Linked DNA regions of Oryctolagus cuniculus. The protein of the gene in region 2 interacts with the protein of the main gene of each other region in a pairwise test. Links are inferred from orthologs where the notes say so. Each region holds a gene or a part of one and is shown on either strand. Other genes may lie near its edges. The genes, in order: HINFP and NPAT.

Evidence for each region.
Region 1: the proteins of NPAT (region 2) and HINFP interact in a two-hybrid assay, tested with the Homo sapiens proteins (2 studies listed by BioGRID). The link is inferred for Oryctolagus cuniculus from reciprocal best matches to the Homo sapiens genes NPAT and HINFP.

The regions. Positions count from the first base shown.
Region 1 is NC_091432.1:111,167,063-111,183,562, forward strand, and holds the end of HINFP (histone H4 transcription factor), read right to left. Parts: 5' UTR 15,774-16,500; intron 10,022-15,773; 5' UTR 10,015-10,021; coding exon 9,843-10,014; intron 6,421-9,842; coding exon 6,191-6,420; intron 5,929-6,190; coding exon 5,817-5,928; intron 5,647-5,816; coding exon 5,494-5,646; intron 5,004-5,493; coding exon 4,926-5,003; intron 4,839-4,925; coding exon 4,718-4,838; intron 4,637-4,717; coding exon 4,498-4,636; intron 4,408-4,497; coding exon 4,283-4,407; intron 4,020-4,282; coding exon 3,596-4,019; 3' UTR 3,091-3,595; downstream 1-3,090. Other genes in the region: ABCG4 (ATP-binding cassette sub-family G member 4), read right to left, coding at 2,774-2,847. UniProt on the Homo sapiens protein: Transcriptional repressor that binds to the consensus sequence 5'-CGGACGTT-3' and to the RB1 promoter. Transcriptional activator that promotes histone H4 gene transcription at the G1/S phase transition in conjunction with NPAT.
Region 2 is NC_091432.1:99,932,872-99,949,371, reverse strand, and holds part of NPAT (protein NPAT), read left to right. Parts: intron 1-1,040; coding exon 1,041-1,137; intron 1,138-5,179; coding exon 5,180-5,344; intron 5,345-8,161; coding exon 8,162-9,808; intron 9,809-12,952; coding exon 12,953-13,068; intron 13,069-13,142; coding exon 13,143-13,251; intron 13,252-16,500. UniProt on the Homo sapiens protein: Required for progression through the G1 and S phases of the cell cycle and for S phase entry. Activates transcription of the histone H2A, histone H2B, histone H3 and histone H4 genes in conjunction with MIZF.

The DNA.
Region 1 (16,500 bases), about 11 Mb from region 2:
AAATTTGAACATTAGGAAAATAATTTCATAGTATACCTATGAGGGTTTTTTTAAAATAGGAAATTAGTCACTTTAAAAAAAATGATTTTATTTATTTGAGAGATAGAGAGAGAGGCAGAGAGAGAGAGAGAGGTCTTCCATCCGCTGGTTCACTCCCCAGATGGCCACAACGGCTGGAGCTGAGCCATTCTCTTCCAGGTCTTCCACATGAATGCTGGGATCCAAGCCCTCGGGCCATCTTCCACTGCTTTCCCAGGACATAAGCAGAGAGCTGGATCGGAAGTGGAGCAGCCAGGACAGGAACCAACACTCATAGGGGATGTCGACGCGGCAGGGGGAGACTCAGCCCATTACGCCACAACACAGGCCCCTGAGGGGGTCTTCAAAAAGCTCATGGGGGCCGGCGCCGCGGCTCACTAGGCTAATCCTCCGCCTAGCGGCGCCGGCACACCGGGTTCTAGTCCCGGTTGGGGCGCCGGATTCTGTCCCGGTTGCCCCTCTTCCAGGCCAGCTCTCTGCTGTGGCCAGGGAGTGCAGTGGAGGATGGCCCAGGTGCTTGGGCCCTGCACCCCATGGGAGACCAGGAAAAGCACCTGGCTCCTGGCTCCTGCCATCGGATCAGCGCGGTGCGCCAGCCGCAGCGCGCCGGCCGCGGCGGCCATTGGAGGGTGAACCAACGGCAAAAGGAAGACCTTTCTCTCTGTCTCTCTCTCTCACTGTCCACTCTGCCTGTCCAAAAAAAAAAAAAAAAGCAAAAAAAAGCTCATGGAAGATGCGTATTAGAAAATATTGGGCATGGATTTCCCCAATTTTTTGAAGTGCCCTCATGGGTGTGTGTGCATAAAACACCAAAGTAGCCATGGTGGACTTCCGTATACATATACTTCTCAGCTCACCACTTTTCTTTAGAACTACCTTTGAAAACAGGGCACCACTCTTTCAGGATGGCGGGCGTTGACAATCTTCTTCTGGTCTTGGTTAGGGTCTCTTTCTAGAAAAAAACCTTCCCCATGCCCAGGTCTACGGTCCACCATGTTGAACCTTCTCAACATACAGCGTAAGTTCCTATCACTTCCCTTACATACTCTCTCCTTGTCTCTATACTGCAAGTCCCTCCAGGATGGGTCCTAGGTATTATTTTTGTATCCTTAACAGCTGTGCCTGGGCCACAGCAGGAACTGAGATGATGGGAACAGCATTGTGCCAGGGGGTTACGCTGCCTGCAATGCCAGCATCCCACATGAGCGCATTGGAGTCCTGGCTGCTCCACTTCTGATGCAGCTCCCTGCTAAGGCACAAGGAAAGCAAGAGCAGACGACGTCACCCAAGTGGGACACCGGCTGGAGTTCCTGGCTCCTGGCTTTGGCCTGGCCAAGTCCTGGCCATTATAGCCATCTGGCCAGTTAAACCAGCAGATGGAAGCTCTCTCTCTGTCCTCCCTCTCTGTAACTCTTTCAAATAATCTAAGAAAGAAAGAAAGCAAGAAAGAAAAGAAAATGGGCCGGTGCCACGGCTCACTAGGCTAATCCTCCACCTGCAGTGCCAGCACCCCGGGTTCTAGTCCCGGTTGGGGCGCTGGATTCTGTCCTGGTTGCTCCTCTTCCAGTCCAGCTCTCTGCTGTGGCCCGGGAAGGCAGTGGAGGATGGTCCAAGTGCATGGGCCCTGCACTCGCATGGGAGTCCAGGAGGAAGCACCTGGCTTCTGGCTTTGGATCCGCGCAGCGCACCGGCCGTAGCGGCCATTTGGGGGGTGAACCAATGGAAGACCTTTCTCTCTCTCTAACTCTGCCTTTCCAAAAAAAGAAAGAGAGAAAAGAAAAGAAAATGGCTGATGGAGGAGGACCTGTGGTACAGGATGCTAAGTCACCACTTGGGCTGCCTGTATCCCACATCACAGTCCCTGGAGTCCTGGCTACTCCACTTCACATCCAGGTTCCTCTAATGCATGCCCCTCCCCCGGGGGGGGTAGCAGTGATGGCTCAAGTACTTGAGTACCTATCACACACATGGCAGACCTGCGTGCACTCCAGGCTTCTTTCACCTGGCCAAGCCCTGGTTCTCACAGGCAGCTGGGGGCTGAACCAGTAGATGGAAGCTCTCCCTAATCCTGTCATCCCATAGGCATGAGTGCTGGCTGAGTCTCAGCTGCTCCACTTCTGATCCGGTTCCCTGCTAATGTGCCCGGATAAACAGTGGAAGATGCCCCAAGTGCTGGGGCCCTGGCCACCCACGTGGGAGACCCAGGTGGAGCTCCAGCTCCTGGCTCCAGCCTGGCCCAGCCCCAGCTGCTGCAGGGCATTTAGGCAGTAGACTAGCACATGGAAGATCTCTGTCTCTCCCTCTCTGTTACTCTGCTTTTCAAATAAAGAATCTTAAAAAAAAAAAAGCTGACAGAATTTATTTTCCTTTCTTAATTCTGTCAACAATAGACAGTTTTCGCAGTAAGAATTTAAAGCAAGCCCTTTAACAGATCCAGAATCCTTTTTAGGCAACTTCCTGGTCGTCTAAGACTCTCAGAGTATTTCCTTGGCCTCTCCACGGCAGCAGACATAAGAATGAACACTGCGTACTGAGAAGTAGCCAAACCAGCCTAAAGAATGTCTTTATTTTGGAGGTGTTTCAGCCTCTGTGAAAATCTACTGAAAACAGATCCTATCCCCCAGGAAAATGCATTTTGTTCCTGGCCCCCTGCAGTACCTGCCATTCCCCAGGGAGCCTCCCAATCCACCCGGCTCTCCCTTCCTCCCACAGCCCCAGAGGTAAGGAACCTTACCCCAGGGGCACTGGGTTCTGATCAGTGTGGCCGTGCTCAGCTGCTCCATCTTCCCGGGTCAGCCCCATTCTCATCTATGCCATAGATCTGCAGCCCACTCATGTCCAAGTGCTGGGGGCCTCCATGGAGATGGCAAATGCTCTGAGAAAGAACAGAGACATTTCACCAAAGTGGGGCTGCAGCAGAGGCAGCAACACGACAGAAATAAGCCACACCAGGCACTAAAAGGGGAATAAGTCGGATTACTCAGCTCCTCTTCCAGAAAGATGTACCTCTTGCTACCCAGTTAACTTCCACTATACCTAGGAAGAAATGAGTTCCAGTCCAAGTGTTTATTATAAAAAAACAACTACTACACACATTCAGTACCTCCAAGCCCGTCCCTGAGGATAACCGTAGAGCCCTTGCTGTTGTAGGAACCCCTAAGAGAAATGGATGCCTGGTTCCTAATACCTTGGCTGATGGCAACGAAAAGCCCTTATAGGGGGTGTGGCATGGAAATAGACATAAGCTGAGTAAGGAATTCAGCATGGTCTAGCACGTCTACAGAGTAACGGTTAAGCCTGATCACAGCCCCTTACCAAGAACACATACAGCCAGGATCCCTTCAGAGAACCCAGGTAGCTAAGGACCCCCAGAAATTGCAGTCTGGCAGAAAGGGAAGTCCTGAGAGCCCGCAGAACCATGCAAGCCCAGGAAGAGCAGTGCGCACTGCTCTCCACATCACTCCTAAGGTATCCGGCTGCAAGAGCCGCCCCCTGGGGCACTGCACCCCCAGCTCAAACTCCGGGGCCGGGGCAGAAGTGGCCAGGCTCTGCAGCTTCACACAGTGTGGACCTCTGGCTCCTCAGCAAGTTCTGGAAGCTTCTCCATGATGCCTCCTGAGGGCAGCTCCGGAGCTGGCGGGGGCTCCCCGGGGGCTTCAGCCAGCACATAGTAGACAATCTCTCGCTGGCCTTGGGTGTTGGTCTGATTCACCATGTGGATGACAGGGCTGGGGTTGTCCTGAGAGGCTGAGTGGGCTGTCCCCTCACCACCCCTGCTCTCCTCCTCCTCTTCCGCCTCTTCCTTAGATCCTGGCTCCTCTGTCACCGTTTCTAGGATGAGGCCCTGTAGGCTGCTCTCATTCAGTGCTGATCCCAGGCCGGACCCCTCTGGGGGCTGCTGCAGCAGCTGCTGAGTCAGCTCTACACTCTCATAGCGAACCAGCTGCAGCCGCATGTAGCCGTCTTCATGCTCCTTGTACCTGGGGGAGGAGGAACACAAGGCAGCACACGTGGGCAGGGGATGCCAAACAGCTCACACACAGGGAGCTTAAGGGACAGATGCAGAAGGAATCCTGGGATTTTATGTGACACCATTGAAAACTGACAGACAGTAACCCACCATAAAAGCATTCAAAGGTTTTTAACTTTGGCGCAAAACAACAACAACAACAACAACAACAAAAAAACAGGACACAGAAAAAAACGTGTGTGAACCTGGAGGGAGGGTTGTTGTGGGACCTACCGAAAACGGGGGTGCCCCGAGGGCCACTTGAAGTGATGCTTCTGGCGAAGGTGCACGGTGAGGCTGTTGCCCCGTGTGAAGCACTTGTCACACACATGACATTTGTACCTCGGCTCCGAGTCCCCCTGACAAGGAGAGAGGCAGAAGTGAGGCTGACCCTTGACCCCAGGCTCCCCCACACTTCTGCCAGGCCCACTCCACCCCCAGCCCCTCACCTCGTGCACTTTGCGGTAGTGGGACTTGACGGAGCAGAGGGACCGGGCACTGAAGGTGCAGCTCTCGAAATCACACCTGTAGGCTGGCTCCTTGCTGTGCGTTTCCAGGTGTTTCCGGAGGTCGATCAGATTCTTACAGCTGCCAGGAGAGGTGAGGGGGGTTGGAGGACATGGGGACCCTGGAACACGAGCTCTTTTTCTGGGCCCCGATTCCCCTTACCTGTAGTCGCAACAGTCACATTTAAAGGGACGGTCCTCACTGTGGCGGAAGCGCATGTGATTGCGGAGGGAGGAAGGCAGCGGGCAGGTCATGTCACACAGGGGGCACTTATAGTGATTCACTGGGAGGAGCAGAGAGGAGGCTGTGGTTTGAAGACTTGTGGAGCCCTGGAGGGTGGACGGGGAGGCTGGCGTGGCGGGCCACTCACCATGGTTGCGCATATGGTCCCGCAAGAGCCGCTCTGTGGCAAACCTCTTGGAACAGTGAGAGCACTGGAAGCGCTGCTCTGGGGACAGGGCAGGCAATGAAAGGAGGGCTGCGGGGGATGTGGAGAGGAGAGGGAAGAGGAGGAGGACCACCCCAGGCACAAGGGAGCACCCGAGGACAAAGGGGAGCCTAGCGAGCTGTGGATGGACACAGGAGCCTGGAAAGAACGCGGGGCCAGAACAGAGAACCTGAGAGAGAAGCCCGCCCTCACCACTTACTCTCTGTGTGATTTCAGCTGACTGACTTAACCTCTCTGAGCCGCAGCTTCTGCATCTGCAGAAACGGGGATAAGAAGCCTACCTCACGGGGCTGCTTTGAGGGCTCCCTGAGATAACTGACGGCAGTGAGTGCTGAGCGACAGCACCCGGGACTGGCTCAGCACCGAGGCTGTGGGGTGCGTGAGCCCAGAAGGAAGAGGGAGCCAAGCCACAGATCTCTTCAGGGGAAACACGCGCCCACCACGCTCCGGGCAGGGCAACCTGCTCCCACCCCTGCTCTCTGGCTCTTACGATCCAGGGAGGTCTGGCGGCGGATGTGATCCAAGAACTTGGTGTTGTTGGCAAACATGCCCCCGCAGGTGGGACAGGCTACCACCTTCTCCTGGGTGTGGCTGCGGAGGTGTTCTCGAAGCTTACAGCGGTCTTTGAAGGTGCAGGTGCAGCCTGGGAAGGAAGGCCCGGCCAGGTTCCAGTTACAAACTCCCCCAATAGGCTCTACGAGCCCCAACTCTCTCCAGCTGCCAGCCAAGCTAGCCCTGCAGGACTGGCCCGCTCCTTGGCTGCCCTGGCCCCAGGGTTTCTTTCAGGACCCAGAAGTTAAAGACAGGCCCTACCTTTCCAGCCACACAGCACCACATGGTTGTCCTTGCCAACTGCTTTGTATTCATAGCACAGGCTGTGCGCTTCCACGTGCCGATAGAACCACTCAGGGTTGTCAAAGGTGCTCTGTGCCAGAGGCAACTCAAGGTGAGAACTGAGGTAGTGGAGGGACCCTTACCACCATGTGCCCAGAGGGGTTTCCTGGCTCTCTCCCAAATTAACTGGGTAGGGATAGAAAGTTAGAGGAAAGGAGCTACACGGAGCTAGGGCAGAGGCACTAGCAGGAGCTGTGGTAAGATAACCACCCCTAAGAAGGTCAAGACAGCTTGAGTCAGGACTCCCAGCCCCCCCCCCCCCCCCCCCGCCATGACTGGCACTGCTCACTGACCTCACAGTACTCCCACAGACACAGGAAGTGGTCAGGGATGTCAGGGATGATGTTCCGGCTCTGGAAGTCCAAGATGCAGGGGCTGAGATCTGCCTGGCTTTGCAAGGCCTGCAGCCCCCACTGCTTCAGCTTGGTGTGGTAGCAGTGGAAGTAGACGTGGCGGATGAGATCAGCAGAACTGTCCAGAGAGCAAAAGCCGCACTCCTGCCACAAGCAGGAGAATTCTTCCCCTGCAAAGGGTTTAGAAGGAGAGTCCAGTCCTTTCCTGGGGTCAGCATTCTCTCCACCTGCAGCACTTGGCAGGGAATAAGGCCAGGCGCTTACCAAATTACCAGGAGTTCCTTCAGCAAATACCATCACTTAATGACCATCCACTGTGCACCAGGCACTAAGGACGTAACCAGCATAACAGAGTACCAGTCCTTGCCCTCACACAGCTTTCAGTCAAGGAAAAAAGAACATTACTCAATCATCACATCTACAAAATAAAACTGCAACTAGTAGTGATAAGCGTGATGGGGTAGGGGCCCACGGTACTATACAATTATGAAGCAGAGGTAGCTGGACACAGACAGGGGTGTCTTGAGAATTGCCCTCATGCTGAGATCTGACGGATGCGTATCCGCAGTAAGTGAAGGGCAGGTGTGGTGGAGGCAGAGGTAACTGCAAACTCAAGGCCCGAGCTCAGAGCCGGCGGGTGTGGCTGGCACCACAGACTCTGGCTCACAGTGCCCACTGCCCCTGAGGAAGACGCAGCCTCCTCTGTCCCCCCACTTCCCGCTCAAGAGCTGCTTTCTCCAGGAAGGCCCCAGCAATGGTTCCAATCCACTTCCAATATCTCTAGCATCTCCAAGCAACTTAGCTTCAAAGCTTTATAGAAATGGTGTCTCAGCCAGCGCCGTGGCTCACTTGGCTAATCCTCTGCCTGTGGTGCCGGCACCCCAGGTTCTAGTCCCAGTTGGGGTGCCGGGTACTAGTCCTGGTGCTCCTCTTCCAGTCCAGCTCTCTGCTGTGGCCCAGGAGGGCAGCGGAGGATGGCCCAGGTGCTTGGGCCCCTGCACCCGCATGGGAGACCAGGAGGAAGCAGCCGGCTCCTGGCTTCGGATCAGCACAGCGCTGGCCATGGCAGCCATTAGGGGAGTGAACCAATGGAAGGAAGACCTTTCTCTCTTTCTCTTTCTCTCACTGTCTATAAATCTACCTGTCAAATAAAAAAAAAAAAAAAAGAAAAGAAAAGAAAGAAATGGTTGTCTCAAAAAGTAGAGGGGCTGAAGTCATGGTGTGGCTGGTTAAGCTGCTGCCTGCGACACCAACATTCCGTATGGGTGTTGGTTCGAACCCCAGCTGCTCCACTTCAGATCCAGCTTCCTGCTGGTGGAGCTGGGAAAGTGGCAGAGGATGGCTCAAGTGCTTGGGCCCCCACACTGACATGGGAGACCTGGAGGAAGTTCCTGGCTCTTGGCTTCAGTCTGGCTCAGTCCTGGCTGTTGCAGCCATTTGGGGAGTGAACCAGTGGATGGAAGATGTCTCTCCCTCTCTCTGTAACTCTGCCTTTCAAATAAATACATTAATTTAAAAAAAAAAAAGTATGTATTTTAGAAAATATGACCATCCTCTGATTGTTCTTTATTACTTTTCAAACTATCAGTTATAGCTTAGTCACAGAATCTCGGGTTGGGGAAGGAGAGTGGTCCCCATACTTACAAGGTCTCCTACATGGGTGACAGGGCACTAAGCACCTGGTTCATCCTCTACTGCTTCCCAGGCACACTAGCAGGGAGCTGGATCAGAAGTGGAGTAGCATAGGCTTAAACTGGTGCTCTGATATAGGATGCAGGTGTTGAAAATGGCAGCTTAACCTGCTGTGCCACCAGAAAGTACCCCCTCCCCTTTAAATAAAGGAGCACAAGGGGGGCGGGTGTTGTGGTGCAGTGGGCTAAGCTGCTGCCCACAATGCCAGCATCCCATGTGAGTGCTGGATCAAGTCCCAGCTGCTGCACTTCCAATCCAGCTCCCTGCTAATGTGCCCGGGAAAGCAGTAAAGGATGGTCCAAGTAGTTGGGCCCTGCCACCTGGATGGAGTTTCTGGCTTCAGCCTGGCCCAGACCTGGCTGTAGCAGCCATCTGGGGAGTGAAACAGTGGATGGAAGCTCTCTCTCTTTCCCTGTCTTCCCCTATCTCTCTGTGACTCTGCCTTTCAATTAAATAAATAAACCTTAAAAAAAAGAGAGAGACAGACAGTAAGGGACAGGCATTTAACCTAGCAATTAAAATGCCAGTTAAGACACCATGTCTCACATCAGAGCACCCAGCTCTGCTCCTGACTCCAGCTTCCTGCTAACGCAGACCCTGGGAGGCTACAGTGATGGCGCAAGTGACTGGGTTCCTGCCTCCTGCATAGGAGACTTGGCTTGAGTTGTTGGCTCCCAGCTTCAGCTTCAGCTTCTAGCCTGGGATTACTGCAGCTTCGGGGAAGTAAACCAGCAGATGGGAGCTCTCTCTGTCTGCCTCTCATATTAGAGAGAGAGGCAGACAGACATTGCAGACAGTATTTAGTAAGTATTGTTCCTGGTATTTTTTTTCCTTTAATTTTTGTGTTGTAAAATATATATTGCAGGGGCCAGCGCTGTGGCGTAGTAGCTTAGGCATCCACCTATGGTGCCAGCATCCCATATGGGCAACTAGTTCGAGTCCCAGTTGCTCCACTTCCAATCCACCTCCCTGCTGATGGCATGGGAAAGCAGAAGATGGCCTAAGTGCTTGGGCCGCTGCACCCATGTGGGAGAGCCAGAATAAGATCCTGGCTTCTGATCAGCCCAGTTCCAGCCATTGTCGCCATTTAGGGAGTGAACCAGTGGATGGAAGACCTCTCTCTTCTTCTGTAACTCTGCCTCTCAAATAAATAAATAAAATCTTAAATACATGCATATGCATGCACACACACACACATCCTGTGCCACAGTGCCTGTTCTGAGTCCAAGCTATTCTGCGGCCCATCCATGTACCTGCTGATGCGCATCCTGGGAGGCAGGTGATGGCCCAAATGCTTGTGTTGCTGCCACCCGCATGGGAGACCTAGATACAGTTCCTTGCTCCTAGTTCCTAGCTTCAGCCCTGGCTCTTGCAGGCATTTGGAAAGTGACCCAACAGATGGACCATCTCTCTTTCCCTCCTTCTCTCGCTCTACCTTTCAAATAAATAAATAAATCTTTATATTTCTGTATTTATCTAGATACATAAACACACACACACACACAGATACCCCTAACTGGTGGCTGCGGGAGAAGAGGAGGGGGTTGGAGAGAGGAGCACTCCCAGAGTTAAAGAGAAAGGGTTGCCAACCGCTTCTACAGTATGAGCTTTTTACAAAAAACAAAATCTGCATCTAATTTAAGTACACAAATGCAAGAGAAGGCAAAAAGAATGTTCACTAAAGCAGTGTAACTGCCTCTTGATGGCAGATGCACTCCCTATATCCTTTTGTTGACTGAATTGTCTATAAATAAATTTACAATGTTTTTATAACCAAAAAAAGCACAATATGGAAAATAAGCCTCCATTCTCCCAGGCTGTCCTCTCCCTTTGGGGAAAGGAAAGTCAATTTCCCATCTTCCTTTTAGCTTTTTCCCCTTCCTGTGTCCTGCTCCCTTACCAAGCGGGTCATCCTCCTCTTCCTCCTCCCTGGAACCATGCAGGTGCTGTTGCAGGTGCTGAGTGACATGCTCGCAGAATTCCTCCATGGCTGAGCACACAGAGGAGCAGGACCCCCACTCACACTGGAGCCCCAGGTTCTCCTTCCGGGGCACCTTCCCAGCAGGTGGCATGGCCTTGCTGTGGAGGGAGAGGAAGAAGTACATAGCTGCAAAGATTCCACCCAGTGCTGCTGGGGCAAACAGCTGGGCAGGCAGCCTGCCTAGAATCAGCAGGTGTGTTTCCAGTGAGGATGGAATAGCAGTTCTTCAAATTCCTGGAAGCTATCTGGTGTTCTTGAAAAAAGGGAACAGAAACTAACACTATCCAGTTTGTGCTAGGCAGTAAGCTAAACACTTTAACAGACATTTCCTCTTGAAGTTTCAGAGCAACCCACCAAGAAGGAATTATGCTTTAGGCAGGAAGAACAACGCTCAGGTTCAGAGACAACTCTGGAAAGGAATCAGAATTCAAATCCAGACTCTACTGTCTACCACCTACTAGCTATGTGACTTTGGCCAAGAACTTAACCTTCAACTTTTGAACATTCTTTTCTGCAAGATGGAGCTAATAGATCCTTTTAAAGTTTATTTATTTATTTATTTTCATCTACTTGAAAGGCAGAGCAATAGAGAGAGAGAACTCCCACCTGCTAGTTCATTCCCCCAAATGCCTGCAACAGCCACAGCTGGGCCAGAAACCCAGCACTCCATCTGGGTCTCCCAAATGGGTGGCAAGAGACCAAGCACTTAAGCCATCATCTGCTGCCTCCCAGGATGTGTTACCAGGAAGCTGGATTGGAAATGAAGTAGCCAGGACTCAAACCAGCACTCCAAAATGGGATACAGGCAACCCAAGCAGTTGCTTAACTTGCTATACCACGATGCCTGTCCCTAAAACCTTTTATTTTTAATTTCACAGCTACTTTATGTCAAGCACCATCTTAAACATTTTATTTGTATTACATCCTTTAATTACCAACCATGCTAATAGGTACGTACTATTTTTAATCTCCTTTATAGACAAGGATCTGAAGTTAGGTGATGTGCACAAGGTCACACACTGGTGGTATAGCAAGGTCAAACAAAGCTCACCCTAAAGTCCTCAATCTTCCTATTGGACACAGCCTGCAGATGGGCCCCAAATCTGCTTACTTCTCATAGCATCATGTCTTAAGTTCTCTGTCAGACTTCACACTTTCAAAGTGTCACACAATCTGCCCCTGCCTAACTAGCCAACGATTACCCAGCACTCCCAAACACCCTGTTGAAACGTAGATTCCAGGGGCAGGTGTTTGGCCAGTGGCTAAGATGCCGCTAGGATGCTCCCACCCTCTATGGAAGGGCCTGGGCTGGAGTGCCTGCTCCACTTCTGATTCCAGCTTCCAGCTTCCAGCTTCCCACTTCCCCACTAATACTGATCATGGGAGGCAGCAAGTGATGGCTCAAATATTTGGGTTCCTGAAGTCATCCATGTGTGAAACCTAGATTGAGTTCTGAACTCCTGTCTTCAGCCTGGCCCAGCTTCGGCTGTTGACTGCATTTGGAGAGTGAATCAGCAGACAGAAGATCTCTCTACCTTTCAAATAAATGAAAATTAATGTAAAAAAGATTTTGTAAAAGAGTCACCCTTGGGGCCAGCACTGTGGCGTAGAAGGTTCAGCCTCTGCCTGCAGTGTCGGCATCCCATATGGGTTCAAGTCCCAGCTGCTCCACTTCTGATCCAGCTCCTGGCTGATGTACCTGGGAAAGTAGCAGAAGATGGCCCAGGTACTTGGACCCCTGCACCCACGTGGAAAACCCAGAGGAAGCTCCTGACTCCTGGCTTCAGATCAGCCCAGCACTAGCCGTTTCAGCCATTTGGGGAGTGAACCAGTGGATGGAAGACCTCTTTCTCTGTCTCTCCCTCTCTCTCTGTAATTCTGACTTTCAAATAAATCTTAGGAAAAAAAAAAAAGAGTCAACCTTTGTTGCGGTTGATTTGTTTCTGAGAGGAAGAACGTGGTGAGGGCAAGAGGCGCGGAGTCACTACACAGACCGCAGGAATCTGGTGAAAGCAGGCCTGAGGCGAGCAGCCTGCAGACTCGTTTATTTCAGTTGATACAGCAGCTTATATAGCCAAGGCAGCCAATCCGGTCAAGGGGCAGTCTATGCCCTAACCAATCACACCCTGTTGCCAGGCAGTTTCTGAAGCCATCCAATCACAGCCTGTTGCCAGGCAGTTTCCGTTGCCAGCGGCCATCTTGGCATGGCCTTCTCATTCCACATTTCCCCCTTTTCCTTTATTTTTGAGCAACGGGAGGCATGATTCTTGGCCATACCATTGTTGACCCCGTTTCCATGTGGTCTCCATACACGGCTGTGCCTGTCTTAGGTTGTCCTCCAGGGGATCTTACCCATCATTGACTAACCAGCGCTCAAAACGGGAGACCACAGGAGTGCTTGCTCAGATGGGGGTAGGAATGAGGAACAATGGTAATCAGGTTGGCATGACTGCACACAGGCTGTGGGCTGTTCGAGTGGCTGACCAGAGCTAGTGGGGTATAAAACAGTAATGGATGTGGCTACAGTTCCTCAGGGTAGGATGATAGGGCAAGTACATCCGCTAACAAGGTGGGCTCTCAGTCTTGTTCAGCTGGTTCTGGTTGGCTATCAGTTGTAGGCTTGATGTTTCTGGCTGGTACACAATGGGCTGTCCCGCATTCTCTGGAAAGACACGCATATCCTCGACCCTTGGTTAGCAGACGCCTTTTTACAGGCGTTGGAATCCAGGGTCTGAATTTTGCGTCCATTCCTACATTTATGGCAAACATGCGGGTGGGATGGGGTATAGCAGCTACCCTGAGAGCCTGGGGTGCCTGGGGACTGCCACAAATGTGGGGATCCTCACTGGGTGCGGATGGGATGACCTCGCATGGGTTATTGCCTCGAGGTCGTCCTAAGTTCATCCCACAAGTATTTGGGGGGTGGCTGACCAGGCATTGCTGTGCCAGAAACCTTTAAAAACAAAACATAAAGAAGACCTGTCTCATTTACACTGCACCCGAGGCACCTATAAATTGCTAGACAAACTTAGGCATATAATAACTATTTGTTAGAGAGAGAGACGATTATAAAACTAAATGTTTTCAATGCTTACTATACACACAAATAGGGTTCTCCAGTCCCTCCCCCTAGAAGTTCAGATTCAGCAAAGTGGCAGGTGAGCCTAGAAATCTGCTTTTAAAACTCAGCATTCAGTTTTGATCCAGGCAGTACCAGCAGCATACTTCAAGAAACGGCAAAAGTTTCTCTCATTAAAAAAGAACACAGAAAAAAGGATGACACTGGAACCTAAAGTTCTGGGAGGAGAGAAAACAATAAAAGCCTTGACTGTGTCCCCTGAATGCCACCTTCCCCTAGGGGATCTCACTGCCCCCACCCTAGCAGACCCTGGAAGGGAACAGGGCACGGCCGACTCTGGCCTACCTGAGACTGATGAGGACTCTGTAAAAGGCCTTTACTGAATATTAAGAGGAATAAAATAAATGAAATAAAATAAGGTCATAAATCCTTCATGCCTCCAAGTACAAGGCTCTGAACCTACTCTATCTGCTAAACCTACCCGGTCTTTTCTCCTCCTCAGAGAAGAATCCAGTCACCGGGACACTGGATTAGACAAGGATTGCAGGGCTGCTCCTAGGCTTTATCAGGAGAAAACGTCTACTGCTTTCATAAAGTTGGGGTAGGGAAAGTCTCCCTAAGCCAGACATAAAATCCCAAACTTCCTCTCTACCGCTTATAGTATGGAAAATGCAAGACTTTCCAAACTAGCTTCAACTTACTTCTCCAGAGTCTGGGTGTGGAAATTCACACCCACGAGGGCCCAGGTAACGTTAGCCCTGCCATGACCCCGCTCCACATGTCACTACACTACTCTGAGAGGGCCCTGATTCTGATCCAAGGATCACACCCCCTCACCACCACCACACCATGCTGCTTCTCCAGCTTCCTCTCCCTTGCCTCTCTGATTCACTCTCCTGAAACTCTGCCGAAGCAGCAGCTCATCCTTCAGACCCCAAGGTCCCTTCCTTGGTCTCCCTCTCCCCAGTTCACCAGGTCAGCTGGAGTTTCCCATCTCCTGCCCACAGCGTCCCGTAGACCCCTTCACTGCAGCGCTTGCTCCAACGCAACAGAAAGCGGTCTCCCTAGACTACACGTTTCACAGGGCAGGGACCAGCACAGAGCTCCGTAGGCCCCAGTGCTCACAGGTCTCGGATGATCATATTCCAGGAAGCCCTCCTAAACTATGCTACTCTTCAGTAACAACTCTTTGGCCTTCTGGTTCTAGGGCTGGCACTGTTGACAGACATCATAAAACCTCAACCCAATTAGGACACCATGAGGATCACTCACGGTCTTTTTATGTGTTCTGTTCCTGTTTACACAACTGGGCTATAAGCTGTTTCTGAGTAGAGGCCCCAGCAGGCGCATCTGGGTCTCTCCACGGTGCCCACAGTGCTGAGCACAAATGTTCTAAACGCGTTCCCACGGTGGGGTTGGGTGGGAAGACCCAGGAAGCTGGCTACCTAGTGACAGGGAATGACCTGACTTAGGCAAAGCTTCCTGACTTCCTCTTTTTCTCCCTGTGTCCCTAGAGACACAGGAGAGATGTGCGACAGAACTATGTCCCACACTGCCCCATCTGTAGATGAACGATGCAAATGATGCAAACAACATACGGGAGAGCTCTGCACCAGCCGTCAGAGATCCGGGTTCCAGTTTTCTGTCTCAGCGAATCTGCTCTATTTATTTACCTACCATATCCAAACACCGCTCTAGGTGTTTCATGTGTATAAAAACCCTTTAATACAACACTCTACCGTGTTAGCTATTATTATTATCCACTGCACCAGTGAGGAAATGGGCCCAGGTAGGTGAAGTAATTTAACCAGGGTCACAACGCTAGAAGTGGAGACAACAGAGAGCCAGGGAGTTTGGCTCCATTTTCCTCCCACTGTTGCCCCTCTTAGGGTACCCGAGTGCCCCACCCACAGACATGGTCTCTGCACACACAATATCCAGACGCCTTTTAGCAAGCAGCTCCTTCGTCAAGCCCCTCCAAGTTGTAACCTGCTGCACAGCCTGGCCTGTGCCCTCTTCAGTTCCACCCGCAGGGTCATCAAACACCTCCTAGGAGCTACGGTAGTTCTAGAACTAGCTACTGTATTTTAGACAAGCCACTCAGCTTCTCTGAACCTGTTTCTTATTAAGAATGAGATACTAGTTTCAGTGATGGTGTTAGATGCAGCTAACCTGCTCACGAAGCAACATTTACTAACCGTAGGGACCTTCCTTAAGCCTGGGTTTCCAGTGTAGCACGGGAACCATTGTATCTCACTGAACTGGGGGCGGAAGTAGACAATTGATATCAAAATACTTCGCATGGCACAAGAACTCCACACGTGCTGGCTGTGAGTACGCTCACTTGCGGCTGAGGGCTGACCTGAGCGGACTGCTGCGAAGGACCCAACAAAAGGGCAACCCGGGACCCGAGCCTCCCTCCCTTCGCTCGGCGGTCACGGTAAGAAGCGATCAGCAAACACTTGAGAGCGTGCACTGTAGCGCAAGGCACCGAGTGAGCCCTGAGTGGTCTCCAGGAAAGGGAAGGACTTGGGTCCTCATCTCCCAGACTCCCAACTCGGCCAAGTCCTGGGAAGACCAAAACAAAGCGCCCGGCGACAGAGCTCAAGGCAGAGAAATCCCCGGGACAGGGACGCTTCCCCTCCGTGGCGGGAGCACGTCTCGCGGACGAGAACCCGAAAGAGGGCAGGAAGCCGCTCCGGAGGGCAAAGCCTCTCACCCCAGCCCCGCAGCCCTCCCGGGACCCGTCCCTCTAAAAGCGTGGCACTGACCGAGTCTCGGCGTGAAGCCCCGACCCGGGAGGGCACCGAGGTTCGAATCCGGGTGGGCGCCACAGAGAACCAGCGTGCTCGAGCCGCTGGAAGGAGCCTCGCCGAAGCGGCCCAGGAAGAGCTCGGCCTCCTGCAGCCGCCGCGGGACGCACCGCCTCCAGGCCGCCAGGAGCGAGCACCGAGCCCCAGCTCACCGCCCGCCAGCGCCGGCTCTCTCCTCCTCCTACCTCAGACAGTCTCCTGAGAGAGAGCTTGAGCGACGGGCAGCGCTAGCCAATCGCCGCTCCCAGATACTACTGACAGCCAATGGCCGCTGCGTCTGACGGAAACCGTGCGCACCAAAACACGGAAGGGGCGGGATCGTGGGTAGAGCTCGGCGTTCGGAGCGCTACCGAGGGGTTGCCGGATGCGGGGAAAGGTAGCGCGGGCCCTCGGGGCTCCAGACCGCTCGCAGGCTTGGCGCCCAAGGGCCTGAATTCCCCCATCTGCGCAGACTCGGCGTGCGGGGCCCAGTGGGCATGCGCGCGGCTTGGTCTGGCCCCTCTGGGGGATCTGCCTGGTCCCATGGGCAGCGCGGAGGCGGGGACGTGGGCGGCTCTGCCCCACCTGCGTCCTTCACCCTCTTAGTCTTGTCTCCCAGATATTGGTGTTCCTGAGCCAGCTTCTCTCTGCCCCGCGCGGCCGGTGAACAACCTTGCCATCCCTCCGCTGTCTGGGGCCGGAAACC
Region 2 (16,500 bases):
TCTCTCTCTCTGCCTCTTCCCTCTCTGTTTAACTCTGATTTTCAAATAAATAAATCTTTAAAAATATATACAGGGGTGACGAAGCAGCAAGAAGTAAACTTGTATTCTCTCCATTACATGCTACCCACCCTGCAAATACTACTGCTATTCATAAATTCTGCCAGCAATGAATATGACTTGATTGAAAGTAAAGAGCTAAAAATATATGTGGTTCTGGAAGGTAGTTCTGTAGCTTGGATTTTGTCCCTCCTACACCAATTGGCATAGAGCTTACATAAGGCAGCTTTTGGCATAGCACTTTTGAATGAGTAGATAAGCGAGAATTATGTAGCACTTTAAGAAAGCATTTAATATGAAGAGAGCAAAGCAGACAAGAAAAAAAGATGGAGATAAATTTATACAGAACGATATAAAACAATCTACTACAAAATACTACATTTGTTTTTGATTAGATATGTATGGATAGTTTGTATATTCATTTGAATTTTGAGGAATGTGTTCATCAAAGTGATTAGTTAAGTGTCATTTAAAAAAACGTTCACGTTCTACTTTCTAGTCTTACTGCGATAGTTGTTTTTGTTTGTTTGTTTTTATTTGACAGGCAGAGTTAGACAGCGGGAGAAACAGAGAGAAAGGTCTTCCTTCCATTGGTTCACTCCCCAAATGGCCGCTACGGCCAGTGCTTTGCTGATCCGAAGCCAGGAGCCAGGTGCTTCTTCCTGGTCTCCCATGCAGGTGCAGGGCCCAAGCACTTGGGCCATCTTCCACTGCCTTCCCGGGCCACAGCAGAGAGCTGGACTGGAAGAGGAGCAACCGGGACTAGAACCTGGCGCCCATGATGCCGGCACTGCAGGCAGAGGATTAACCAAGTGAGCCACAGCGCCAGCCCCTCTGCAATAGACTTAAAGTACAATCAGTTTTCTTGAAGGGAAATGTTTTTGCATACAAAGTCAAAGATATTAAATGTCTGCTAATTATTTTGCTTTTACTAAACCATATTAATTCAGTTAGGATCTTGCCTTTACCTCACTCTTTTGCAGAGCGAAATTCACATGTCTGAAGAAGTTATACAGGATATATTGGAACAGACAGAATCAGACCCAGCATTTCAGGCCCTCTTTGATCTCTTTGACTATGGTAAGTGTATTGTTGCTTTCACAGCAGTTAGACAAAAAAATTTCTCTAGTTTCTTTGGTTAACTTAACACAAGCAACACTCCATAGCACGTCTTGAAAAAGTTCTTAACTTTGTTAAAGTAAATATTGTATGAACAGGTAAAAGATAGTGTCTTGCTTCACTTTGTTTTTACTTAAATTTTAGCCGTTAAATGGGGAGGCTTTATTTTTTTATTTTTGTGAGCATTGTGGCCAGTCAGCAGACTGTTGAGGTCCAGTACTATAATTAATAAACAAAATAGAAAATACAAAAGGAGTATGAAAAATTGGCCATTTTCTTCAGTTTCTTAATCTAGTGCAATAGTTCTCAAATTACAGCCCCAAAAATCAGCACTATCAACTTTATCTGAGAACTTGGGGCCTCCAGGAAATTCTAATACAGTTAAATAACCACAGGACTAGTGTCGCTCCCCCTCTTCGTGGAGGAACGACACAGGACCCTACGCTGTTCTTTCGTCTGCTCGGCCCTTCCCGGGTTTGCTGCTGGTTCTTCCCGGGTTGGCTACTGTCCCTTCCACCTCCGTGGAAGGGCGGTTCCCCCTACCACATTCCCCACTTCCGCAGGGGAGCGGCACACCGCCGGCCGGCTCTCTCGGGGGCTGCACAGGTGTTCCCCTTAGATGTTCCCCTTAGATGTTCCTGGTGCATGCCGTCTCTCTCCTCCTTTATAGTCCTCCTCCGCCAATCCTAACTCGGCTGCCCACACGCCAAGTACGCTGCTCTCCTCCAATCAGGAGCAAGTCCTACAGTTTATTGGCTGAACTGGAGGCAGCTGTGTAGAAGCTGTTTTCTTCTCTCCCAGCGCCATATTGTGGGAGAGCAGATGCATAGAATAAGTCTTAATTCCAGTAACAGTCTAGTCCGAGTTGCTCCCAGTTGCTCCCCACAGATCCCCCTTTCTTTTTATTTTTTGGCGTTGATACGCACCTGTCTTCGGTGTCCCGCGGCACACACTCTGCTCTGCTTGCTAGAGTTGCCACAGGTTCTTACAAGTCCTATCAATCAGGCAAACCGAATCCGGGTCCTCTCTTCGCCATGTTGTGAGGAGGTTTTTAGGCGCTGATGCGTGCCTGTGTTCGGTGACCTGCGGCTCATACTCTGGTCGAGCCGCCTGCTGGTGCTTATTGCCTTACTAATCAGGCAGACCGAATCCAAGCCTTCTCATTGCCATATTGTGGGGAGGCCTATTGGTGTTGGTTCGTGCCTATCTTCGGTGACCTGCAGCTCATACTCTGGTCGAGCTGCCTGTTGGTGCTTACCGCCCTAATCAGGCAGACCGAATCCAAGCCTTCTAATTGCGGTATTGTGGGGAGGCCTTACTGATGTTAATTCGTGCCTGTCTTCGGTGACCTGCGGCGCATAAGCTGCTAGCCGCCCGCAGGTGCTCACCGCCTCCCTAATCAGGCAGACCGAATCCAAGCTTTCTCATTGCCATGTTGAGGGGAGGCCTTTCTATTTCTCTATTTCTCTATCTCCGGGCATTCCTATTTCTCCCATTTTACTTCTATCTTCCAGCATTCCTATTTCTCTCATTTTACTTCTAAACTTCTGTTTCTCTTATCCCTGCGGCTTTCCGGTGCCCGCCCCGAAGCCGCTTCTCGGCGGCTTTCCGGCTCTGAGCCGCTTCAGCCCGCGCCTCTCTCATCTGCGCGGCTTCGCGGCTCTGCGTGGCTCGGCTTCGCGCGCACACTCCGCGGTCTCTCACTTAGCCCAGCGTTCCCTATCTACTTGAGCCCCGCGCGCTCTGTCTGCGCGCGGCAGCCTCCGCGAGTCACACAGCGTAGCTTACGTCTCCGCCATTAGCATTCAATCTAAGTTCCCCGGGCTAGCCTGGCGAATTCAACCCAGCTCACGTCTCCGCCCCACGATTTGGCTTCCCGTCCTTTGCTCCCCGGGCTAATCAGACAGATCCCAACCGGGCTTACGTTTCTGCTTCTGGTTTTAACTTTTCGCCCCCTATTCCCGGGCTAACTTGAGAATCCCAAAGTGGCTTTCGTCTCCGCCTCGGCCTGCCCCCCGCGGCTTCAATTTCCCTAACATTTTTCTCTACCCGGTATGTTTCCCCAAGCTTTCCTCCAACGATACTCCTCCCCCACTTCTCCTGGCCTCTCCCCACAGTCCGCATCCGAGTTTGTTCTAGCTTTCACTTTCGCTTTCGACCTTAGAGATTTCTCCCAGCTTCCCCCCGTAGTCCGTATCTGAGTCTATGCCTAGGCTTTCAATAGCTTCTTCCGGCACCTTTTTCGTCCGGCTTTTCCCTAGGCTGTTTGCTAGTCTCTCTCTCCGGTATTTTCCCATTTCTTCCCGTTTCTTCCCTCCTAAGTTTGCTATCCGTCCTAGGTTTCCTATCCGAGTCACGGCACCATTATGTCGCTCCCCCTCTTCGTGGAGGAACGACACAGGACCCTGCGCTGTTCTTTCGTCTGCTCGGCCCTCCCCGGGTTTGCTGCTGGTTCTTCCCGGGTTGGCTACTGTCCCTTCCACCTCCGTGGAAGGGCGGTTCCCCCTGCCACTTTCCCCAATTCCGCGGGGGAGCGGCACACCGCCGGCCGGCTCTCTCGGGGGCTGCACAGGTGTTCCCCTTAGATGTTCCTCTTAGATGTTCCTGGTGCATGCCGTCTCTCTCCTCCTTTATAGTCCTCCTCCGCCAATCCCAACTCGGCTGCCCACACGCCGAGTACGCTGCTCTCCTCCAATCAGGAGCAAGTCCTACAGTTTATTGGCTGAACTGGAGGCAGCTGTGTAGAAGCTGTTTTCTTCTCTCCCAGCGCCATATTGTGGGAGAGCAGATGCATAGAATAAGTCTTAGTTCCAGTAACAGTCTAGTCCGAGTTGCTCCCAGTTGCTCCCCACAGACTAGTGTAAAAATTTTTCTACTGGGGCCATCGCTGTGGTGTAGCGGGTTAATGCCCTGACCTGCAGTGCTTGCATCCCATATGGGCGCAGGTTCTAGTCCCGGCTGCTCCTCTTCAAATCCAGCTTTCTGCTATGGCCTGGGAAAGCAGTAGAAAATGGCCCAAGTGTTTGGGCCCCTGCACCCACATGGGACACCCAGAAGAAGCTCCTGGCTTCAGATGGGCGCAGCTCCGGCCATTGCAGCCAATTGGGGCGTGAACCAATGGATGGAAGACCTCTCTTTCTCTCTCTCTCTCTGCATCTCCTTTCTCTGTGTAACTCTTGACTTTCAAATAAATGTTCTAAGAAAAAAATGTTTGTACTTACAAATTATACGTAAAACAGCATGTTAAGGGGCTGACACTGGCGCGGCGGGTTAAAGCCCTGGATAGCAGCACCAGCATCCCGTGTGGACAGTGGTTCAAGTTCCGGCTGCTCCATTCCTGATCCAGCTCTCTACTAATGCATCTGGGAAAGCATTGGATGATGGCCCAACTCCATGAGCCTGTACCCCTATGTGGGAGACCCAGATGAAGCTCCTGGCTTCGGGTTGGCCCAGCTTTGGCCATTGGTGCCTTCTGGGGAATGAACCAGCTGATAGAAGATCTCTTTTTCTCTGTCTCTGCCTGTCTCTCTAACTCTCTTTCAAGTAAATAAAATAAAAAAAAATTTTTTTGACAGGCAGAGTGGACAGTGAGAGAGACGGAGAGAAAGGTCTTCCTTTGCCGTTGGTTCACCCTCCAATGGCCGCCGCGGCTGGCGCACTGCGACCAGCGCACTGTGCTGATCCAATGGCAGGAGCCATGAGGTGCAGGGCCCAAGTACTTGGGCCATCTTCCACTGCACTCCCTGGCCACAGCGGAGAGCTGGCCTGGAAGAGGGGCAACCGGGACAGAATCCGGCGCCCCGACCGGGACTAGAACCTGGGGTGCTGGCGCCACAAGGCGGAGGATTAGCCTAGTGAGCCGTGGCGCCAGCCTAAATAAAATAAATTTTAAAAAGTATGATAAAATATCTAAAAAGCCAAAATTAAAACCAAAATTTAACATTTGCTTGACCCCTTATTTTATACTGGTCATTAATTATTTCCATGTGTCTTTTTTTAACAGGTAAAACAAAGAATAATAAGAATATATCACAGAGCATTTCTAGTCAGCATATGGAAACCAGTCAACATATGGAAACCAATCAACATATGGAAACCAGTCCCAGTATAATTTTAGAAGATGAAACTAATGTAGCACCTAAAGGTACTTTTAAAACAGAAGATTCTGGTAAGAATTTGATTTTATCAATCCAAATCTTTATATTAGTCTTAAAATTCAAAAGGAGGAAATACTTGAAAGTTTGTCAGTTTATCACAAGGGTCTTTATTTCTAGTTTTTTCTCCATTAAAAAAGAAATTATTCCTGGGGCCGGTGCTGTGGCGTATCAGTTAAAGCTGCCGTTTGCAGTGTGGGCATCCCATATGGGCGCCAGTTCAAGACCTGGCTGCTCCACTTCTGGTCCAACTCTCTGCTTATGTCCTGGGAAAGCAGTAGAAGATGGCACAAGTCCTTGACCCTCCGCACTTGCGTAGGAGATCCAGAAGAAGCTCCTGGCTCCTGGCTTTGGATCGGCATAGCTCCGGCCATTGCGGCCATTTGGGGAGTGAACCAGCAGATGGAAGACTGCTCTCTCGCGCACGCTCTCTCTCTCTCTCTCTCTCTGTGTAACTCTGACATTCAAATAAATAAATGAATCTTAAAAAAAAAAAAAAAAAACGCATTCCCAAGAGTTCAGTAGTTTGAAAGGTGAACTTTTGAACTTTTAGTGCTCATTGATTTATCTTACAGTATGTTCTGGGAAAGAGGATTTTTTTTGTGTTGAGGATAAGGTTTTTTAAATTTTTTTAATTGACATAGTAATTGCACATTTTATGATGTACATTGTGCCATTTTAATACCTGTAAACAAAGCATAGTGGCATGTCATGCTAGACACATCCTCTTTCAATCCCTTCCTACTGCTTACCCTTCCCAGGCTCTGGTATTCAAATGCTAGTCTCTTTTACTTTAAGATCAACATTTTAGCTTCGACGTGTAAGGGAGAACATGCAGTATCTGTCTTTCTGTGCTTGATTTATGTCACTTAATGTGATATTCTTCAGTTCTATTTCATAACAAATAACAGAGCCTCATTCTTTTTTGACTAAATAATATTCCCTTCTGTACATTTACCATATTGTCTTTATCCATTCTGTCATTGGACACTTAAGTTAATTTTGTGTCTTGGGTATTGTGAATGGTTTTATAGTAAATATGAAAGATTCTTAAACATTTCAGTTCATTTGGATATGTACTCATTAGTAGAATTACTGGATCATAAAGTAATTGCATTTCTAGCCTTTAAAAAAATTTATTTATGTTTAAGGCAAAGGGACAGAGAAAGGGAGAAAGAGACCATCTTGGATCTACTATGCACTCCTCAAATGGCTGCGATGGCTGCGACTATCACAGGTCAAAGCCAGGATCCTGGAGCTCTGTCTGGGTCTCCATCTGGGTCTTCCCTATGGGTGGCAAGAGCCCAAGCCCTATTGCCATCCTCTACTCTTTTCATAGGCCCATTAGCAGGGAGATCAAAAGTACAGCAACCAGAACTTGAACTGGTCTCTAGTATGCCAACATTGCAGGTGGCAGCTTACCCCACTGTGCTACAACATCAGCCCCTATTTTTTTTTTTTTTTTTTTTTTTGGCAGGCTGAGTGGATGGTGAGAGAGAGAGACAGAGAGAAAGGTCTTCCTTTGCCGTTGGTTCACCCTCCAATGGCCGCCGCGGCCAGCGCGCTGCGGCCGGCGCACCGTGCTGATCCAATACATCAGCCCCTATTTCTAGCTTTTTTATGGAAGCTGCTTAATGAGAGTTACACTGTCTGCAAATACTCATCAGCATTTATTTTTTTGTCTTTGATGATAGCCATTCTACCTGTGATGAGATGGTATTTCATTTTGGCTTTGATTTGCATTTCCCTGATGAATAGTAATGCTGAGCATTTTTTCATATACTTATTTATTTCTAGAACCTCTTTTGAAAATTATTCATTGAGTTGATTCACTGAATTTATAATCGGATTATTTTTTGGCTGTTGGATTGAGTTCCTTATGGATTGTGGAGGTTAATCCCTTGTTGGATGAATGGTTTGCAAATAATTTATTCCATTCTGTGGGCTGTCTCTTCAGTCTGATTGTTTTGCTATGTAGAAAGTTTTTGGTTTGTGTAATCCCATTTGTAAGTTTTTGCTTTTGCTGCCTGTGTTTTTGAAATTATAGCCAACAGGCCGGCGCCGCGGCTCACTAGGCTAATCCTCCGCCTAGCGGCGCCGGCACACCGGGTTCTAGTCCCGGTCGGGGCGCCGGATTCTGTCCCGGTTGCCCCTCTTCCAGGCCAGCCCTCTGCTGTGGCCAGGGAGTGCAGTGGAGGATGGCCCAGGTGCTTGGGCCCTGTACCCCATGGGAGACCAGGAAAAGCACCTGGCTCCTGGCTCCTGCCATCGGATCAGCGCGGTGCGCTGGCCACAGCGCGCCGGCCGCGGCGGCCATTGGAGGGTAAACCAACAGCAAAGGAAGACCTTTCTCTCTGTCTCTCTCTCTCACTGTCCACTCTGCCTGTCAAAAAAAAAAAAAAAAAAAAAAAATTATAGCCAACAAAAAGGCTTAGCCTAGACCGATGTCATGAAGAATTTCCCCTGTGTTTTCCTCTAGTAGCTTCACATTTAGGGATATTTGAAACCAGTTGTGTTTTTGTTTTCTGGATTTTTTTTAAGCCTACTGGTAAATATTACATGTCCTTAAGCAGGTATACTTTTTCCTTTACCATGTCAGCTATTTTCTAAAAAATTGATAAAAATAATTTGTCATTTATTTTAAAAGGTATGAGTAATTTGAAAGATGCATGTAAACACTTTGATACTCAGAAAATGAGATATGAGATATATCCTATTTTTACCTACTGACCTGTAAAAGATTAGTTACTTCCTTGGCAAAATAGGCTTTATAATAAATTGCCTCAGAAGCTGAACTTACCACATTTTTCCACCCTCCTGCTGTTTTGCAGATGGACAGTCTGGTCAACCCTCATTTTGTTCATCCTATCAAAATGAAGATGCATTAAATGCTTTGAAAAATGGCAGCAACCATGATGGGCTTAGACAAGACGCCCAGGAAAATTTTTCCCACATAGGTCCTAGCATCCAGAAGAAGGCCTTTAAAGCAGCTGTACCTACTGAAGAGAAGTGTAACCTTGACATTACTTTTGAGTCTGTGCCTAATTTGAATGACTTTGACCAAAGAGGAGATTCTGTTGCTGAGTGTGATGCACTCTACCCCACTCAGATGTCTGCTGAAACTGAAATGGCTATGGAGGTTGAAAAGAATTCTTTGTCTCCAAATGTACAAGATGAATCTCACTTACAGCCTGAAGTACCAATAACTTCACTTGTTTCACTTGGTGGTGAAGCTAACAATGAAAATCTACTCTCTGGGAAAAATTCTCAACTTTTATCTGAAAATACTTCATTAACTGAAAAGTCATCCAAGAAAAATCAGTTTTGTGAAAGTCCTAATAATTCAGTGGGACTTAAAACTAACTTCCATGGTTCTAAGTCACCGAAGTCTAGTGAAATTCATGAGAGTAAAATTGAAATTAGTAATGTGTTACCAGTTGTGTCACAGCAATTATCAGATTGCCAAGATAATTCTTCACCACAAAGTAAAATACTACCTTTATCTGTGGAAAGTTCAAGTTTAAATGTACAACAAGTAGAAATTAGTTTTGGAGAGTCCATCTCTTCTAATAAACAACCATCTAATGATTCAGCATCTATTGAATTAAACCATACAGAAAATGAAACTGAGCCATCCAAGTCTGAGAGAGTTACTTTGGATTCACAAGACCCTTCATCTACTATAAAAGAAGTTGGAGATGCCATTTTTCTGTCTTTAGATGGAAGTGATAACTGTAGGGAAGTTGCATTGGTGCCTCCAGAAGATAATTCTACAGAAAATAGTCACTCTCCTCCTTCAGAATCTGTGTGTTCTGCAGTGGGAGATGCTCACCCTGAGTCCCAAAATACTGCTGATAAGCCTTCTAGTGACAACTCAGCAGAGATAGATGCAGCAAATATCGTCTCTCTCAAAATTATCATTAGTGATGATCCATTTGTTTCCTCAGATACAGAACTTAATAGTGCTGTTTCTAGTATCAGTGGAGAAAATTTGCCAACTATAATTTTGTCCTCTCCCGCTAAATCACCTGCCAAAAATCCAGAGTTAGTTAAATGCCTGTCTTCAGAAGAAACTGCAGGTGCTGTTGTATCTGCTGAAGTAGGGGATTCAGCCTCCATGGAACAGAACCTTTTAGCACTCAAACTTGAGGACTCCGTTGTAAACAACACTCAGAATGAAGATAGCATTGCTTTTCCAGCCAATGTCACACCATGTGTTTCCAAGGATGGAGGATACATACAGTTGATGCCAGCCACAAGCACAACTTTTGGCAATTCGAATAACATTCTGATAGCTACCTGTGTTACTGATCCAACTGCAGCCTTGGGAACAACTGTAAGTCAGTCTAATGTTGTAGTACTGCCCGGAAATTCGGCACCTATGGCTGCACAGCCCCCACCACCTCAGTTGCAGACACCACCAAGGTCAAACAATGTATTTGCTGTCAACCAAACTGTGTCACCAAACTTTTCACAAGGTAACTATAAGAATGTGTTAAAGTTTTTGTCTCTGGATTGGGATCTGATTTCTCTTGTATGTAATTACTAAACTGTAGGTAATAAATCAGATGGTGTGAGAAAATAGTCTGAAATTTGTAATTATGCCTCTTGTTTACACTAGGTGAGTAATTCAGTCACCTTTTTTTTTATTATTTTTTTCCATTTTTTTAACTTTTATTTAATGAACATAAATTTCCAAAGTACAGAATATTGATTACAATGGCTTCCCCCCCCCATAACGTCCCTCCAACCCGCAACCCTCCCCTTATCCACTCCCTCTCCCCTTCCATTCACATCAAGATTCATTTTCGATTCTCTTTATATACAGATCAGTTTAGCATACATTAAGTGAAGATTTCAACAGTTTGCTCCCACACAGAAACATAAAGTGAAAAATACTGTTTGAGTACTAGTTATAGCATTAAATCTCAATGTACAGCACACTAAGGACAAAGATCCTACATGAGGAGTAAGTGCACAGTGACTCCTGTTGTTGACTTAACAAATTGACACTCTTGTTTATGGCATCAGTAATCACCCTAGGCTCTTGTCATGAGCTACCAAGGCTATGGAAGCCTTTTTTAAGAATTGTAAGCCATGAACGGAAGTGGTTTAATTTTTTCTTTTCACAAATAAGGTCTCAATCTTTGAGAAAGAGAAAGAAAGATTAATTCATCACATAGCTGTGTTTTCTTTATCTCCTATAATATTGAATTTTAGTAGGTATGCACCTGGTATGGTTGTAGCCTTCAAGAGAGTTGTCATCTATTTGGAACGATATCCAGGAACAATTTGAATAATATATATGTTTAGTTTCCCTTGTTCATAGGGTGTCTTGTAGCATTTATTACATGCTGTTTTTTATTAATGATTGGCATGCCTGTCAAATTAGTCATTCTAGATCGTATGTTTATCAAAGATAGGACTTACAGTATATCCATCTATATTTCTGTATGTATTGGTTCTTGAGCTTCCCTCCCACCTCCCCCCTTTTTTTTTTTACATCATAGACACACAATAAAATTTTATTAAATGTCATCACTTGTAAGTATTAAACCTGATGGGCCTGTTTGAAGTACTGCCTCAAATAAGAGGTCAGAATTGGTATAGAAACTGGGCTTGAGATAAAGCTTACAGAAATAAGGTAGGATTTGGAGTTAAAGGAAGGAAGTCTTTATAGCCAAACGAAGTAGTGCAAGCATGAATAAGTATTTTAAGACTATAGCAGTAGGCTGGCGCTGCAGCTCACTAGGCTAATCCTCCACCTTGCGGCGCCGGCACACCGGGTTCTAGTCCCAGTCGGGGCGCCAGATTCTGTCCCGGTTGCCCCTCTTCCAGGCCAGCTCTCTGCTGTGGCCAGGGAGTACAGTGGAGGATGGCCCAAGTGCTTGGGCCCTGCACCCCATAGGAGACCAGGAAAAGCACCTGGCTCCTGGCTCCTGCCATTGGATCAGCGTGGTACGCCGGCCGTGGCGGCCATTGGAGGGTGAACCAACAGCAAAGGAGGACCTTTCTCTCTGTCTCTCTCTCTCACTGTCCACTCTGCCTGTCAAAAAAAAAAAAAGACTATAGCAGCTATGTCAAAGTGAAATCAACCTAAGAGTAGTTATTGTATTAGGAAAATACTCTCATTACAGGGCATGGATAAATTGTGATAGTAACAGACTATATTGTTGTTGACCTTTTTTTTTTTTTTTGGACAGAGTTAGACAGTGAGAGATAGAGAGAAAGGTCTTCCCTCCATTGGTTCACCCCTTACCGCTACAGTGAAGCCAGGAGCCAGGTGCCTCCTCCTGAGCACTTGGGCCATCCTCCACTGCCGTCCCGGGCCACAGCAGAGAGCTGGCCTGGAAGAGGAACAACTGGGACTAGAACCCTGCGCCCATAAGGGATGCCAGCACTGCAGGCAGAGGATTAATCTAGTGAGCCAGGGCGCTGGCCCCCTATACTATTGACTTTTTTTTTTTTTTTGGACAGGCAGAGTGGACAGTGAGAGAGAGAGACAGAGAGAAAGGTCTTCCTTTGCCATTGGTTCACCCTCCAATGGCCGCCGCAGCCAGCGCGCTGCGGCCAGCGCACCGCGCTGATCCGATGGCAGGAGCCAGGAGCCAGGTGCTTTTCCTGGTCTCCCATGGGGTGCAGGACCCAAGCACTTGGGCCATCCTCCACTGCACTCCCTGGCCACAGCAGAGGGCTGGCCTGGAAGAGGGGCAACCGGGACAGAATCCGGCGCCCCAACCGGGACTAGAACTCGGTGTGCCGGCGCCGCTAGGCGGAGGATTAGCCTAGTGAGCCGCGGCGCCGGCCTTGACTTTTAATTACTGTGTAAGCATTGTAATTCCCCCAACACATGCACGCACACACCGTGGTTTTGTCTGAATACTCATTTACCTTTTACCTGGACTCTTTTTTTTCTTTTTCTTTTTTCTTTTGAAAAGCATAGTTGGAGAGAAAGAGACAAAACAGACAGAGGTCTTCCTTCCACTGGTTCTTTCCCCAAATTGTCACCACACACGGGGCTGGGCCAGGCTGGAGCCAGGAGCCTTAAGCTCCATCCGGGTCTCCCACATGTGTACAGGGGCCCAAGCACTTGGGTCATCTTCTGCTGCCTTCTCAGGTACATCAGCAGGAAGCCGGGTCAAAAGCAGAGCAGCCAGGACTCAAACCACCAACCATATGGGATGCTGGCATCTCAGGCAGCAGCTTAAACTGCTAAGCCACAGTGCAAGCCCCCACCTGGATCATTTTTAACCAGTGTCATTGATATATAATAGGCTAGGTGTATGGGCAGTCTTAGGCTATAAACATTCAGTTGAGGTTCTAATTTCCTAGTGTAAGACTCAGACTTGAAACGTTCACTGATTTTCTAATTAGTTTCACTGTTTTTTCTATAGGAGTCAACAGTACAGTTGTATGACTTCCTTGCTCATGATTGTTGTGAAAATGTTATCAGCCCATCTTTCTATTCAATTGACCTACTTGTTGGCCTTGCTGTTCTGCCTTAATTTTCTAAAATAATAGATTGTAAGGAAAGATTATTACTTTATTTCAAAGTAACAATTATTTGTTTTGTACCAGAATTATTAAGAGAAATTCTTCCTTTAATGAGAATTATTTTTCAGGATCTGCCATCATAATTGCCTCTCCAGTGCAGCCTGTGCTCCAGGGAATGGTGGGAATGATCCCTGTATCTGTGGTGGGACAGAGTGGAAATACCTTTTCTGCTCCTCCTCGGCAGGTGAGGTTTATGAACTAAAGTGCTATAGTGAAACTTTTCAAACATAGTATAATTAATGCCTTCTTCTCTTGCAGGTCCTTCATATGCCTTTGGCAGCACCTGTGTGCAATAGAAGTATTCCTCAATTCCCTGCCCCTGCAAAATCTCAAAAGGCTCACGGACCAAGAAACAAGCCTTGCATAGGTAACATATTAAGTTTGTTAATGTCAGCCTTATGTTTGTCCATTAGTTTGTAGCAGTGCTTGACTCTTTTCTTCTTGAACACCAATAACATCCTTAACAAGTAGTCATCCTAAGTTTGCTTAAAGATTCATAGCACTAGATATTAGAAGGCAGCCAACCTTGATATAGGACATCTTTGATTCTGATAAGTTTCCTTTTATAAGTTTTAGCTTTGTTCCAGTGTTCCTTAATTTATTCTTTGGAGATACCTAAAATAATAATAATCTTAATTTTCTGATAGCTTTAAAATGTTTACTGAATGTCATATATATTTATATTAGATTTTAGAGGCAGTGTTTGCTGAATGTTTATATGAACTGCTACCTGGGAATCTTGTTAAATGCAATTGCTGAACAGTAGGACTCCCGTAGGGCCTAAAATTTCTTGTTTCTAATAAGCTTTCACTGAATGCCTGTGCTGCTGCTGCTAGGCCACACTTTTGAGTAACAGCCTTTGAAGTTCCCAATTTATTTTCCTTCATTCCCAATTTGTTCAGTGGCTCACCCATCTTAGTATTTATCCATGTCTAAAACCTAGGAGTTTTCTTTTTTTCTTTTCTTAATTTATTTGACAGGTAGAGTTGTAGACAGTGAGAGAGAGAGATAGAGACAGAGAGAAAGGTCTTCCTTCCATTGGTTCACTCCCCAAATGGCTGCTATTGCCAGCACTGCGCCCATCCGAAGCCAGGAGCCAGGTGCCTCTTCCTGGTCTCCCAAGCACTTGGGCCATCCTCCACTGCCATCCCAGGCCACAGTAGAGAGCTGGACTGGAAGAGGAGCAACATGGGATGTTGGCGCCGAAGGTGGAGGATTAACCAAGTGAGCCATGGCGCCAGCCCCACCCCACCAAGAGCTAATTTTAACAGCAAGTACTCAAAGTGGATATTCCACTTTTATTTATTTATTTTTTAAAGATTTATGTATTTATTTGAAAGTCGGAGTTACACAGAGGAGAAGCAGAGAGAGAGAGAGAGAGGTCTTCTATCCGCTGTTTCACTCCCCAGTTGGCTGCAAAGGCCAGAGCTGTACAAATCCAAGGCCCGGAGCCCGGAGCTTCTTCCAAGTCTCCCACATGGGTGCAGGGGCCCAAGGACTTGGGCCATCTTCTCTGCTTGCACAGACCATAGCGGAGAGCTGAATTGGAAGTGGAGCAACCGGGAATTGAACCAGCACCCATATGGGACAGCAGGCGGCAGCTTTACCCGCAAGCCACAGGGCCAGCCCCAATTCCACTTTTATTTTTCCCTTAATTGCTTGTCATGCGTATGCTACAGCAGTTAACACCTGACATTGTGAATATTTGACTCCTCACTAATTTGAGTGTCTTAAGGGCAGTAAATATATAGATTACCTGCTAAATTCCATGATCAGTTTTGCTTTTCCTTCAATATTTATACATGTTACTGTACGTGTAAGTTGTTTTTTGATTTATTGGCATTCTCTCAGACTGTCACATTATACTACTATACATTTCATCTCCTGTCAATGGAACTTTAAGACACTCCCAAAGTTGACCTGACAAACTATGATATGATGAACACATTTTTTTTTTTAAATTTATTTATTTATTTGAAAGTCAGAGTTATACAGAGAGGAGAGGCAGAGAGAGAGAGGTCTTCCATCTGGTGGTTCACTCCCCAGTTGGCCGCAATGGCCGGAGCTGTGCTGATCCGAAACCAGGAGCCAGGAGCTTCTTCTGGGTCTCCCATGAGGGTGCAGGGGTCCAAGGACTTGGGCCATCCTCCACTGCTTTCCCAGGCCATAGCAGAGAGCTGGATAGGAAGTGGAGCAGCCAGGTCTCGAACCAACACCCATATGGGATGCGGGCACTTCAGGCCAGGGTGTTAACCCGCTGCGCTACAGCACCAGCCCCAGATGAACACTTTTTTAAAAATACTTTTTTTAGAAAAAATTTGTTTATTTATTTGAAAGAGTTACAGAGAGAAAGGGGAGAGACAGAGATCCTTCATCTGCTGGTTCACTCCAGCCGCATTTGACCAAGGCTGGGCCAGGCTAAAGCCAGGAACGAGGAACTTGTTCTTGGTCCCTTTTTTTTTTTTTTTTAAGATTTATTCATTTATTTGAAAGGGAGAGTTAGAGAGAAGCAGAGGCAGAGAGATAGAGAGAGGTCTTCCATCCACTGGTTTATTCCCCAAATGGCTGCAATAGCTAGAGTTGGGCCAATCCAAAGCCAGGAGCCAGGAGCTTCTTTCAGGTCTCCCATGTGAGAACAGGGGCCCAAGGACTTGAGCCATCCTCCACTGCTTTCCCAAGCACATCAACAGGGAGCTGGATCAGAAGTGGAGCAGCTGGGTCTCAAACCGGCACCCATATCAATGCCGGCACTGCAGGCCAGGGTGTTAACCCGCTGCGCCAGAGTGCTGGCCCTGATTCTTTAATTTCTTTTTTTTTTTTTTTTTTTTGGACAGGCAGAGTGGACAGTGAGAGAGACAGAGAGAAAGGTCTTCCTTTTGCCGTCGGTTCACCCTCCAATGGCCACCACGGCAGGCGCGCTGCGGCCGGCGCACCACGCTGATCCGAAGGCAGGAGCCAGGTGCCTCTCCTGGTCTCCCATGGGGTGCAGGGCCCAAGCACTTGGGCCATCCTCCACTGCCTTCCCTGGCCACAGCAGAGAGCTGGGCTGGAAGAGGGGCAACTGGGAAAGAATCCGGCGCCCCGACCGGGACTAGAACCCGGTGTGCCGGCGCCGCTAGGTGGAAGATTAGCCTATTGAGCCGCGGTGCCGGCCCCGATTCTTTAATTTCTAAAATGACATGTATGCTGTTTAACTCAGCTTGATCTACAGCTATCCTGTCATTAGTTTTTAATGTAGAACCCAACTTGAATTTATAACTTTTTTGTATTAGATTATTTTTTATGTTGGTAAAATATATATACCATAAAATTTTTAACATATGACCAATTTGGGGCCAGTGCTATGGCACACTCTCTATCTCTCCCTCTCTCACTCTGTAATTCTGACTTTCAAATACATAAATAAATCTTTCAAAAAAAAGAATCATTCTTTTTTAGTCTCAGAAATATATAATGGCAATAATTGTTTAACATAGCAGTTAAGACACCTGCATCTTATATTGGCATACCAGAGTTTGGTGCTCAGTTCCCAGCTTCCTGCTAGTTTGGTGCTCAATTCCAGCTTCTCAGTCCAGCTTCCTGCTAATGCAGGCCATAGGAGGTAGCAGTGATGACT